Xenopus tropicalis: one gene and its partner. The protein of the gene in region 1 purifies or fractionates together with the protein of each later gene. This does not show direct contact. Links are inferred from orthologs where the notes say so. Each region holds a gene or a part of one and is shown on either strand. Other genes may lie near its edges.

Region 1 (6,919 bases):
GGGGAGGGGGTCGCCTAAGTTTATCGGAAAACACATATTTTCGATGGTCTTAGGAATAATTTTATGGTTGAGGGTCACGGTGTTAGGAAGGTTGAGAACCACTGATATAAATGACTTAGATCTTGTTGCCTTCAGTCTTGGAATTCCTATCAGAGCAAGCAGGCAGGCACCATTTTTGCACAATTTTTTTTATTAAGGAAAGTTTTGTATCACCCCAAAATCTTTTGAATGCGCCAGGATGGGTGACCTAATGCCCATGCCTATGCACTGGCTACACAATTATTGAGTGTCAGGAGGGAGAGGGGAATGTGAGGAGTGCAGTGACATCTAGGAAGTGCTGAATGGAAAGTTAAAGCATTTGCCTGCCCCTCCTGAGGCATAGAGGCAGGACAGGCAATATATGAGTGACAGCTCAGATTTTTAAATACTTTTATAACAAGCATGGGTGTTTTAATAAAAAAAAAGTGTTTCATGTTTAATTTGCAAAAGACTTTTATAATACAGATTTTTATGTGTGGGTGACAAATTCCCTTTAAATGTCCCTGCAGCACATCTTTAAATATCCCAAATGAATGTGCCCAATGACAAATATTCCCTTGGGATAATGGCACAAGTAGTGTTTAGAGGAAGGAGCAACAATATGCTTGTAATAGCCTCTCATTAATTTCAATGGAAATCACCTGGATCTGTGGGAGTACTCACAATTCAGGCAGTTTGAAAATGTAGTAGTCAGTGGGGATCAATTCCTACCATTTTTTTTTACCTGCCCACAGATCTGAAAATCACTCAAACATAACAGAATTGCCATGTGCCAGTGACCTCAAGGATAAATGAAAGAATAATATAAAAACATGCAGAATGCTTCAGAGGACTGCATTCATGCCTAAGGGTCTATGCCCACAGAGTGGTACACACACTTTCAGTGTCAAACAAAAGGGACTCCAATTTTTGAATTGAAGATGGATGCTTCCTGGATTGTATATGAACTAAAACTAGGCTATCAGTAAGAACCTAAATACATAAACACCTCACTACAAAAAATAACATTAATTTGTGTTTTCTTCTGCACATCCAACTTATCCCCAGTTTATATGGCAAACATAACCTGCTTCCTAATAATAATTTTAAAAAGGAATGGGTGCAAAATAAATAAAATGTGGCATTGTCTTTATATACGTACATTGACGAATTTTACAAAATCCAAGCATTAAAGGCCTCCTACACTGGCCATAAGTCAGAGCATATTCATGACCAATATATTTTTTACTTGGACCCTTTAACATTACTACAGACATGTATGTAGGTTTATTCTAAAGAATACATCTGCACTTCCTAAAATTCAAACAATGCAGCCACTGGAGATAATTCTGAATACTTTAGCACCTTAATAAACAAATGACAATTTTCTTTTCAACATTTTAGCCACAAAATAAACACTGCACACTATTCTGAAACAGACAAACACTTCATTTAGTAGAAAACAAGTAAGCAAGTAAGACTTCTTTTACCTTTTTTTGTACCCTGGGGGAAAATATTTGCTTCCTTTATCCACTTTTTCTTGCCAAGGGGAAAATAGTTTATGTTCTTGCTATGTACCATTATTAGCATACATTTTTTATGCAAAGATCTTTTCTCCTAAGGGCATTTATAGTAAGAAATGTTCACGTGCTGCATAAATGTTTTTAAATCGATAAACGAGCAGTTTAGTAAAATGTACAAAAATGCAGAGTACAATGTAAACTGACAACATTGCGAAAATAGTTAAACAGACTTTTCATAAACAGAAAAGTCTGAAAGTTACATCAATTTTATTTAAATTCTAACAGGTATTCTAACACCTTAGCTACATCTGCCCCTCCGTACTATATTTAAGCACTGATTAGAGAGGCACTGGATACATTCAGTTCAACTAAACCTCCACAAAAAAAGGCACAAATTCCCTTAAAGATACAAGAATTTCACTGACTGCTCATTATACTTTGGGATTGCTAATTTCTGACACAGGCCAAAATAGCATATTACTTTCAACATCTATTAAATTAAAAGCATTGTTTCATTTCCATGACCCTGGAATTCTTCAATGCCCAAGAGGACTGTTTAGCATCTGTTTATCTGTAACTTCCATTTTTGCTAACTTGCAAGCATTGTTCCTTTTTTCTATCTGAACCACCCCAGGAGATTAAGGGAAAATACACCAAATTATGGAAACAATGCTAAATTACATTTGATCCAATGTAGATCTCAGATGTTAAAGAAGATATTTTCCATATGTAATTAGTGCATGCTTTATGTGAATAGATCCATATGAGCTGTAGCATAGTTCATGAGCATGGGGACAAGGAGAATCTGACACAATGAAAGGAAAGCCTAAATCCGGGGGTGGGGCAAATTATCTGACACTACAAGATCAATTTAAAGAAGAGCAGAGCATCTTATAAGTTTACCAAAATATTGAAGGAATACAAAAAAAAAGCATTTTACAAAAGAAAAACAGAATCTCTAAAGAATTAATAGAAGTTGTTTCACATACATTGAAATAAAGAAACAGCAAAGGCAAAGGATAAACAAGGACAGCTATCCAATGCAATGTGCTTGTTTTCAGCTGTTAGTATATGGGCCACACTATTCTAAACAAGCTTTATATAAATAACAATGCCAGTCACATTTTGGTGCAGGCTATATATACATACTTATGCAAGCATAATAGAAGGGTGGGACATTTAACTGCAGCAATGCCAGAGAGTGAGCAGGCAAGTGATTAAAATTATAAAGGGAATGCTGCAGTTATAATGTGCATGAAAAAGGTTCATTAATATAATAAAATTAAAGTCTAGATTAACTGAAAAAAATCTACATGGGTGCGCAGGAAACCCTGATAAAATCCTCCCACCACATAAGGCTGCAAGCCATAATCCATGAAGTGATCAGGAAGGAAGGAGGGGGGAGAAGAGGGAGGTAAAAAGGAAAAGACAAGGAGACCGGCTCTGAAATAACTGAACATGGGTGGAGGGAGGATGATCAGAAAGGGTTCCCAAAAACACCTAACAAAATGTACAGAAAAAAGTGTAATTGGATGATATGCTTTCTTAACAAAGAAACACATACATATACACAGCTAGGACCCACTTACACACATAAGGGCCCCCACACTGTACATACAAAGAACAAGCTATATATATATATATTATATGACATTCTAGTCTATGACAGAGAACATGTGAGGTCACTACCTTAGAATGTCCCATATGCACATTTAGATAAATGATAACATGTGTGTCAGTAAAAACAGCACAGACGACAGGGTAGATGGCCTTTGGCAATCCAGCTGTTACAGAACCACAACTCTCAGCCCCCCAAGCGATGTTTGCTGACATTTGCAGTTCGGCAACATCAGGAGGGACCCAAGGCTAGTAGCTAAGTTACAGAATAGAGTGTCCCCTTTGCATTAACTGCAGGGAACAAACTAGTTCAGTGACTAGCGTAAGGGTAAGAGGAGCACTTCCACAGACCGACCCTGACACTGATGCATCATGACACTCCTGTGCCCATCCCAGAACACTCACCATAAAATCGCAGCCAAAGTTATCCTCTCCATTCTGATCTTTGATATCCATGGTCTGCACCCTTTGGATAAAAGACTTTAGGATCGCTACTTGATCCATCTTGGAAAACGGCAGCTCGTCTGACATCTCACCAATTTCAGAGCAACCAAATACCCGGTACCTTCAACCAATAGCCCACACGATGAAAACCCAGCCACCCTGCTGTCTTGCTCAGGGTGGGGGAGACAGTCTCTTCCTCAGCCCCTAGCCATGAGGAAATGATGTCCTCTCATCCCATTCAGTGAAAAGGCTTCTTTTAATCCCTCTACCGAGCAGCACACACCTCCCAGCCTTGCACCAAGACACGCACTGAAGAGGACCGGAACTCACAGCATTAGGCACCCCTCCTTCCACAGCTTCCCATTGGCCGCGCCCCATGCCTTTGCAAGCCTTCATTGGCTCGCTGAACGTGCACAGAGAGGGCGTGCCAAACCCAGCCTAGTCTGCCCGTCATTAACTCAATAGGTGGTTGATCGATCGGCCATCTTAGGGCGGAGGAGGGGAGGGACTAAAAGGGCGAGGCTTTATTTACAGGCGGCCAATCGAACTTGAAATGGAAGGCGTAGTACCTTAAAAGAGGCCTGAAACGCAAAAATGCATACTGTATGGGATTTTCCCTTTATATCTGTTTGAGAAATCTATTCATTGCGAAGTGTATTTCAATGCGTTTCTATTTCAGACCATAATATTTCGAAATAAACCGATTATGACAGCTGGACAAGTCCCAGATTGATTATTTATTAGACAAAGAGAAAAATAGATCCTATAATTACTGCTCCGTGGATGGTGTAACTCAAATGAAGTAGGAAGAAACTGGATCGTATCGACAACAGATTAAAATAACAGTAATATAAACAGCTTGCTACTAAAGCAATTTCTTTTAGTTTTTTTTTTTTTCATCTTTTATCGTTTTCGAAAATTCCTAAAACATACACTTAAAAGGGGGTGGTTCATATATAAGATTATTTTTGCATGATATAGAATAGCCTCATGTTAGCAACTTACAGTTTGCTTTCATTTGAATTATTTTCTGCCTTTTGTTACCTTTAAAATGGGGTCAGTGACCATGGTAGCTAATAATATTGCTCTGTGAGGCTACAGTTAGGCTAAAGTAGCTTTTGTTATTGATACTTTTTATGACATATTTCTATTCAGTACCTGTCCTATTCATATTCCGGTATCTGATTTAAATAACATGGTTGACAGGATAAATTAAACCCTAGCAACCACATAAAAGATTTTAAATAATGATTTCCATGAGTACCCTATGTATATGTCACTGGCAATGACCAGTTTTTGTAAATGCTACATTATCTTATTATCTTATAAAGGAATTGTTCAATGTAAAAATAAAACTCGGTAAATAAATAGGCTGTGCAAAATAAAAAATGTTTTCAGTATAGCTAGTTAGCCACACCTGTAATTTACAAGGGCTGGAGTGAACGGATATCTAACGAGAACATCACTTTCTTCTTTGTTTCTCTCTAAGGGCTCTGGGACACGGGTAGATTAGTCGCCTGCGACAAATCTCCCTGTTTGCGGGCGACTAATCTCCCCAAAATGCCATCCCACCGGCGAAGATGTAAATCGCCGGTGGGATGGCATACGCGATTTCCGCAATTGCCTCGAGAGGAAACTTCCGCGATTTCACTGAAATCGCGCCGCCGTGTATGCCATCCCACCGATTTACATCTTCGCCGGTGGGATGGCATTTCGAGGAGATTAGTCGCCCGCGAACAGGGAGATTTGTCGCGGGTGACTAATCTCCCCGTGTGCCAGAGCCCTAAGGGCTCGTACAGATGGGCGTTTTGCCCTGCATTCCCCTGCACTGGCGTTCTCCTGTGTTTCACTGCAGGGGAATGCAGGGCAAAACACAGCCCTTTCTTAACTACTGAGCTACACTCACACAGATGCATGTAAGCACCAAACGCAGGGGGAAAGCAACATAAATGTTTCGTTAATTTGCTTTTGATCATGAGCACGCAGGTCAAAAAAAATGCAGGTGGAATGGGCTGCGTCTGTTCACTCCAGCTTTTATAGATTCAATTTTTTGCTAACTATATTGGATTCAGTTGGGTGTAGATAAAGGTTTTGTGCGTTGATGGTCAGGTATAGGTTGAGTTTTTCCTATGCAGCAAATAAAGAAGGAAGAAGAGCCAACAGAAAGCAAGATAAAAATCTAGCGAAGAAGGAGAAAAAGGAAGATATAAAAATGGAAGTAGGGTTGCCACCACTAGGTTTTGTCCAACAAGGCAGTGGCATTGGGTGGGGGGGCAATGATATTGGAGGGCAGGTCTGTTGAAGTAAGGGGAGGAACAATGATACAATGGGCAGGGATGATTAGTAATTAATTCAGTTTCACATTACATGGTAGCTCTGAATCACATGCAGTTTGCATCAGAATTTAATAATCAACCCTGTAGCATCAGTTTAATTGACAGATAAGCTTCATTTTTGTTTGATGAACTGTCAAAAATCCTAAACTAAACTTCTCAACAACTGCCAAGAGAGCATACTGAGCATGTGGGTGTTACTGACACTCCTGACAAAATCCATATGGTGAGCTTATGCACATTTTTGAAGACCTGGATCATTACTATTAGAGGAATGGCAAACATCTATGCTGTTCAGTAACAGTTAATGTATAAAAGACAATAGTTTTAGCCACATCGGCCAGCCAGCGGTTCCAACAGCCGCCACAGTGAATAAAAACTCATAGTACAGCATAGGCTGTGTTAACTCATACATTCTCTTGTGCTAGAACATGAAAGAGCCACCGCAGAGGAATACATAACGAAACACTCACGAGTAAGAGCCTTAAATTAGCATTATAATATAATAGAAGTCAAAATTAAATGTAACATAAATCTTGCCTTTATGAAGGTGTACAGCAGTGTTCCCTAACCAGTGGCCTGTGAGCAATTTTTGTTTACCAACCCTTTGGCTGTTGCTCCCAGTGGCCTCAAAGCAGGTGATTATTTTTTAATTTCTTGTAAGGAGGCAAGTTTTGGTTGCATAAAAACCCAGTGTAATGCCAAACAGAGTCTTCTGTATGCCATCAGTCCACATAGGGGCTATTAAGTAGCCAATGATAGCTCTCATAGGCACCCCCAGGAACATTTTTCATACTTGTGTTGCTCCCCAACACTTTTTCCATTTAAATGGGGCTCACGAGTATTAAAGGTAGGGGATCCCTGGTGTACAAGAAAAGTCAAAGGTAATTCACAAAACATATTTTTTCAAAATGTAATAGAAAATCAAACCTGCCCAATTGATATCTGGCCAATTTTTGGCCATATATTGGTCAGGTGGGTCTG
Region 2 (6,181 bases), on another chromosome or scaffold:
GGCAAATACAGATCTAAGCATCTCTCGTATGCCTTTATCCCACTGGTTCAGCCACCCCAAATGCATCTCTTACCACATCGATGGTTACACATTGCTGGGATAGCTGATTGACGTGCGTCCACACCGCGTTACGGAAGAAATTTACTCGCTCCCATCCCTGATTCTCAAAAAACTGCAAATACGGGAATCAACAATCAGAAAATTTGATGGTAGAGCAATACAAAGGTATTGGGTATTAAAAGTATCCAAATATATAACAAGCCACTCAACTGGTTGGCCAGTGATTGGCTACATAAGTGAAACTCCAAATGGGTTGGGCAAGCTTCTAAGCCAAGCAATCTGATTGGGCAGGGAGCTGTGGTTGTACTCTTATCCTGTATCCTGTTAGCCAATGATTCTTACAACATTGGCCCATTGGATTTTGTCCAGATACCCAAAGTATAAAAACGTATTTATACAGGTATGGGATCCCTTATCCAGAAACCCGTTACCCAGAAAGTTCTGAATTACGGAAAGACCATCTCCCATAGACTCCATTATAAGCAAATAATTCTAATTTTTAAAAATGATTTCCTTTTTTTCTCTAATAATAAAACAGTAGCTGTACTTGATCCCAACTAAGATATAATTACCCCTTATTGGGGTCAGAACAGCCCTATTGGGTTTATTTAATGGTTAAATGATTCCCTTTTCTCTGTAATAATAAAACAGTACCTGTACTTGATCCCAACTAAGATATAATTACCCCTTATTGGGGTCAGAACAGCCCTATTGGGTTTATTTAATGGTTAAATGATTCCCTTTTCTCTGTAATAATAAAACAGTACCTGTACTTGATCCCAACTAAGATATAATTACTCCTTATTGGGGGCAGAACAGCCCTATTGGGTTTATTTCATGGTTAAATCATTCCCTTTTCTCTGTAATAATAAAACAGTACCTGCACTTGATCCCAACTAAGATATAATTACCCCTTATTGGGGCAGAACAGCCCTATTGGGTTTATTTCATGGTTAAATGATTCCCTTTTCTCTGTAATAATAAAACAGTACCTGTACTTGATCCCAACTAAGATATAATTACCCCTTATTGGGGGCAGAACAGCCCTATTGGGTTTATTTAATGGTTAAATGATTCCCTTTTCTCTGTAATAATAAAACAGTACCTGTACTTGATATAATTACCCCTTATTGGAGACAAAACAAGCCTATTGGGTTTATTCAATATTTAAATTATATTTAGCAGACTTAAGTTATGGAGATCCAAATTATGGAAACATCCCTTATCCGGAAAACCCCAGGTCCCAAACATTCTGCATAACAGGTCCCATACCTGTACATAGTTATTTTGGGATCACAAGGTCCATATGGGGCAGAACAACATGTCACTGTGCATTTCAATGGATAGAGAGGGGCATTAAAGCCAAATGAATGCCATTACCTCACAGGAGCTGACATGTTCCTTTTGCCAGTCTTCCCTTATTTTGTCAAGTAAGTTGATATTTTGCTGGTAAGACTTATCTGCAAATCAGAATAAACATTGATAACTGATGAACACAAACCAGTCATGAATTATACAACTAATAGCAACCATCAAGTAAAAGAACAGCAATGGGCACAGACATGGCTACCTCTATGTTTGCACAGGAAGAGGAGGAGCAAGCATCAGTGTACATTGTGTTCTGCTAACAGTTCTGCAGCGCTTATTCCAATTGGTCATGATGCCATCAGGTAGATCCCACCATCTGCTGGTCGCTGTGAGACATAACAAGTGGGAAGGTGCAGGGCCGGATTTGGGTTAAGGCTACAAAGGCTGGGGCCTAGGGCGGCACAAATTGAGGGGTGACATGCTGGCCAGTTGCACCCCCAGAGCACTGTAGACCCAGAGCTTGTCCTCTGTGCTGTGTGCCTAAAGGTGGCCATGTACGGTAAGACCCGCTCGTTTGATGAGGTTGCCAAACGAGTGTATCCTATGGGTGGGCAATATTGGGCTAATCTGATCTAGGGCCAAATGATCAAATTAAAAGGCGGGCATAGGGGGCATCGGTTCTGGGGCCAATTTCCAGCCAGATGTAGGTTGGAGAGGCCCATTGGTGGTGCCCATACACGGGCAGATAAGCTACCAGATCTTTCTGAAGAACCAATTTGGGCAGCTGAAATCTGCCCCTGTATGGCCATCTTAGGTCAAACAATGTGCAAGCACACAATTCTGGGGGAGGGGCAGTAAAGGGTGCCAGCCTCTGGGCACGTGGCACATAATTTTGGCCCTGGGAGGGGGGACATGAAGAGATTGGTCTTGGCTTGTAGGAGAAGGTACTGTACTGTGTATGTCTAAGATGTTTTTGTGAAATGTGGGGGCTGGACCCAACTGGAAAACAGAATCAGTAGCCATTCAGAGCATTATAATGAGACCTGAAGAAGGACTACAGATGTAACAATGGTGCCAATGGACCAATAGTATCGGCAGACTTTTATAACAGGAAGTGACTCACCAGCAGCTTCGGCAGTCACCTTGGAATGCGCCAGTTTAGCAAAAACCTGAAAATATGATCAAAAGTATTATTTCATATCATTCAGAAACACTGATTTCATAGATAGTAGGTGTCAACTGGCAGGGTCCCTGTCTCCCCCCCAACCCCTGTGATGGTACAGTCCCAATCTGATGTTTAGTTTCTATCACTGGTTTTATTTGCCCTCCCTCCTTAATGCCAACATACCCAGGCCATCAATGATCAGCAATACATTAATCCTACCCAAACTTCTCCTCGTATCCTTCATAAGTTTCTGCATGTTGGAGGAGGGACAGAGAAAATGGGGGAGGAGAAGATAAAAGACATGATAAGCAAAGAAGGGAGACCACTGGAAATCCAGGAGGCCCACCTGAATCTCTGGTCATGCTTAAAGGGGCGGTCTACCTTTATTTACATTTTTTTAAAAACAAGGAGGGTTGTTGAAAGATTCCATAGACAGTCACTATTAAAGGGAAACTATACCCCTAGAATGAATACGTAACCAACAGACAGTTTATATCATATAAAGGGACCTATTAAAGAATCTCCCCAAACTGGAATATATATATCAGTAAATATTGCCCTTTTACATCCTTTCCCTTGAGCCGCCATTTAGTGATGGGCTGTGTGCTCCTTCAGGGATCAGCTGACAGGAAGTGATGCAGCTCTAACTGTAACAGGAAGTAGTGTGGAAGGCAGAACTCTGCCCATTCATTGGCTGATGGGGCCTAGCATGTATGTATGCCTTGGCTTGTTTGTGTGCACTGTGACTGGCCATTGGCTGTGCCAGGGCTAAACGTTCCATCATTACCTTTTCTTGCTGCTTGGCATTCACCATATTTTTGCAGCGGCTCACGGCTTGTTCGGCTTCATCCTTCTCCCGACACCTCTGCTCATAATTCCTCTTCGACTACCGGGGGGAACAGAGGTAAAATCTCAGCATTTGCCCCATTAATGTAGGGAATGGCTACAGTATCTATCGTTCGTATCGGCTATAAATTTAAATTACAGAATAATCCTGTCGGGGACATGTGTCCTTCCATCATGCCAATGCATTGCCAGTTACCTTGCAGCTTGTCATAGGAAAATAAGGGAAACTAGGACAGACAGGTCTAAGAGCAACTCTACCCCAGGCACCCCTATATATAACCCTGAATCTAACGGAAATAACAAAACATGGATTTATAATTTCCTCTTTGATTTACCAGCTTTTGTAGCATAGATATTCCCCAGTACTAAGCACAATTCAGCAGGAACAGCCCCCTAAGTTTGCCCATAGCCTGTACAGAGAGATACCATAAAACTATGGCACATAGGGATTCCCCTATACTAAGCACAATTCAGCAGGAACAGCCCCCTAAGTTTGCTCATAGCCTGTACAGAGAGATACCATAAAACTATGGCACATAGGGATTCCCCTATACTAAGCACAATTCAGCAGGAACAGCCCCCTAAGTTTGGTCATAGCCTGTACAGAGAGATACCATAAAACTATGGCACATAGGGATTCCCCTGTACTAAGCACAATTCAGCAGGAACAGCCCCCTAAGTTTGCTCATACCCTGTACACAGGGTCGGACTGGGGGGTGCGGGGCCCACCGGGGCTCCCGCCCCGGGGGCCCTGCAGGTGCCCCAGCCGCGTCCCCTAACCCCCCCAGGGGCCCCCCTAACCCCCCCGAAGGGCCCCCGCCTGACGTCCTCCCTGAGCTCGTATAAATTGAACGCGTTAGGAGAGGAACATTCAGTAGCGGGGAGCGCCGGCAAAGGTCGGACTGGGCCCGCTGGGGCCCACTAGGGCCAGGGCCCACCGGGATTTCTCCCGGTGTCCTGGCGGCCCAGTCCGACCCTGCCTGTACAGAGAGATACCATAAAACTATGGCAACATAGGGATTCCCCTGTACTAAGCACAATTCAGCAGGAACAGCCCCCTAAGTTTGCCCATAGCCTGTACAGAGAGATACCATAAAACTATGGCACATAGGGATTCCCCTGTACTAAGCACAATTCAGCAGGAACAGCCCCCTAAGTTTGCTCATAGCCTGTACAGAGAGATACCATAAAACTATGGCACATAGGGATTCCCCTGTACCAAGCACAATTCAGCAGGAACAGCCCCCTAAGTTTGCTCATAGCCTGTACAGAGAGATACCATAAAACTATGGCACATAGGGATTCCCCTGTACTAAGCACAATTCAGCAGGAACAGCCCCCTAAGTTTGCTCATAGCCTGTACAGAGAGATACCATAAAACTATGGCACATAGGGATTCCCCTGTACTAAGCACAATTCAGCAGGAACAGCCCCCTAAGTTTGCTCATAGCCTGTACAGAGAGATACCATAACTATAGCAGTATTGGTATCCTAATGATGGGATATGATGACAGTATTTACAGGATACCTGGTGTCTAAAACATTTCTTTTTTTTATTAAGAGATCAAAGAAAACTTACCTCCATTGTCTTTTTGTACTGATTCAGTTTCTGCTTATGAAAGGCATCCATAACAGCTTCTATCTGCAAATAATAGGATAGAGGCTAAGATAATACTATGGATTTCTCTCTCTCCCTGCTGACTATGGGGGGGTATTTTGCAGAGTATTTGTATTGGGCAAAGAGTGACTGACAGAGGGGAAGGCAACTTGCAACCCTCAAGGTATTGACCTTATCATCTCCAACTATGGGTTGGAAAAAGAGTTCCTTGCAGGCAGAAAACACTGCAGAAGGGGTCACTTTGTTGTTTGGGGAACCTTGTATGTTACTTTGCTCTTCCAGAAAAGAACAGTGAAGTTCAATTTTCTTGCTTTTTGCTGACTTTCCACTTACAGCCAATAAAGCTCCTATTATAAGGACCTCTATTTTAAGTCAAAGTAACAGACAGTCAGAGTGCAGTTTTGGCATAGAACAGTCAGCAGTCTCTTCCTCCAGACTGCTGACTATGGCACCCCAATGAGATCTCTACTCCAATTGGACAATGTACCTTTCACAGCCACCCTTTCTACAGAATTCATTAGCCCGTTCACTATCCAGGTACTGGCAGTAAACCTTAGATTAGAAAGCAAACGTTTATGCAGCACCGCTCACAACAGGTGTCAAACTTGCAGGTCTATAATTGCCAGGCTGAGATTGCAATTCTTTTTGAAGTAGTGGAGTTATGAAGATTTCATCTAATATTTCAATTAAGCCTGCCAACCCCCATCTTTTAACTGATGATATGCATTAAAAATGCAGGATTAGTCTTTTCAAGTGAAACAATCAGTTCCTCGCTTTCTTTGGTTGTTGCCTGTGTTCTGTGACTTCCGTCCTATTACCTTCCTTGCATCAAATTAAAGCCACAGAAAGTGGTCTTTAAAGGCAAAATGAACCCCATTGTATTGTGGATTCAACAAATACATAGCATATAGAATAACAAGGAAACATGAATTTGTTCAGGATCTCATACATGCCACAGGGCACAAACTGAGTGGCACCAACAAGCCCACTAACAATTATATATAAACTAGCTGCTTGCTTCTATTTACCAGGGTTAGTATACAGGTATGCAATCCCTTATCCAGAAAGCTCTGAATTATGGGAAGGCCATCTTCCAAAAACAATTTATAATAAAACAATTAACATTTTTTTTAAATGGTTTGCCTTTTCTCTGTAATAATAAAACAGTACCTGTACTTGATCCC

The links. The genes of interacting proteins can lie anywhere in the genome.
Region 2: the proteins of ptpn12 (region 1) and pstpip2 purify together in Homo sapiens (affinity purification with mass spectrometry; 4 studies listed by BioGRID and IntAct, counting the BioPlex papers as one, with this or other methods). This does not show direct contact. The link is inferred for Xenopus tropicalis from reciprocal best matches to the Homo sapiens genes PTPN12 and PSTPIP2.

What each region holds. Positions count from the first base shown.
Region 1 is NC_030679.2:78,239,132-78,246,050, reverse strand, and holds the start of ptpn12 (tyrosine-protein phosphatase non-receptor type 12), read right to left. Parts: upstream 3,901-6,919; 5' UTR 3,663-3,900; coding exon 3,564-3,662; intron 1-3,563. UniProt on the Homo sapiens protein: Dephosphorylates a range of proteins, and thereby regulates cellular signaling cascades. Dephosphorylates cellular tyrosine kinases, such as ERBB2 and PTK2B/PYK2, and thereby regulates signaling via ERBB2 and PTK2B/PYK2.
Region 2 is NC_030677.2:206,682,620-206,688,800, forward strand, and holds part of pstpip2 (proline-serine-threonine phosphatase-interacting protein 2), read right to left. Parts: intron 5,022-6,181; coding exon 4,959-5,021; intron 3,420-4,958; coding exon 3,321-3,419; intron 2,538-3,320; coding exon 2,492-2,537; intron 1,521-2,491; coding exon 1,441-1,520; intron 173-1,440; coding exon 74-172; intron 1-73. UniProt on the Homo sapiens protein: Binds to F-actin. May be involved in regulation of the actin cytoskeleton.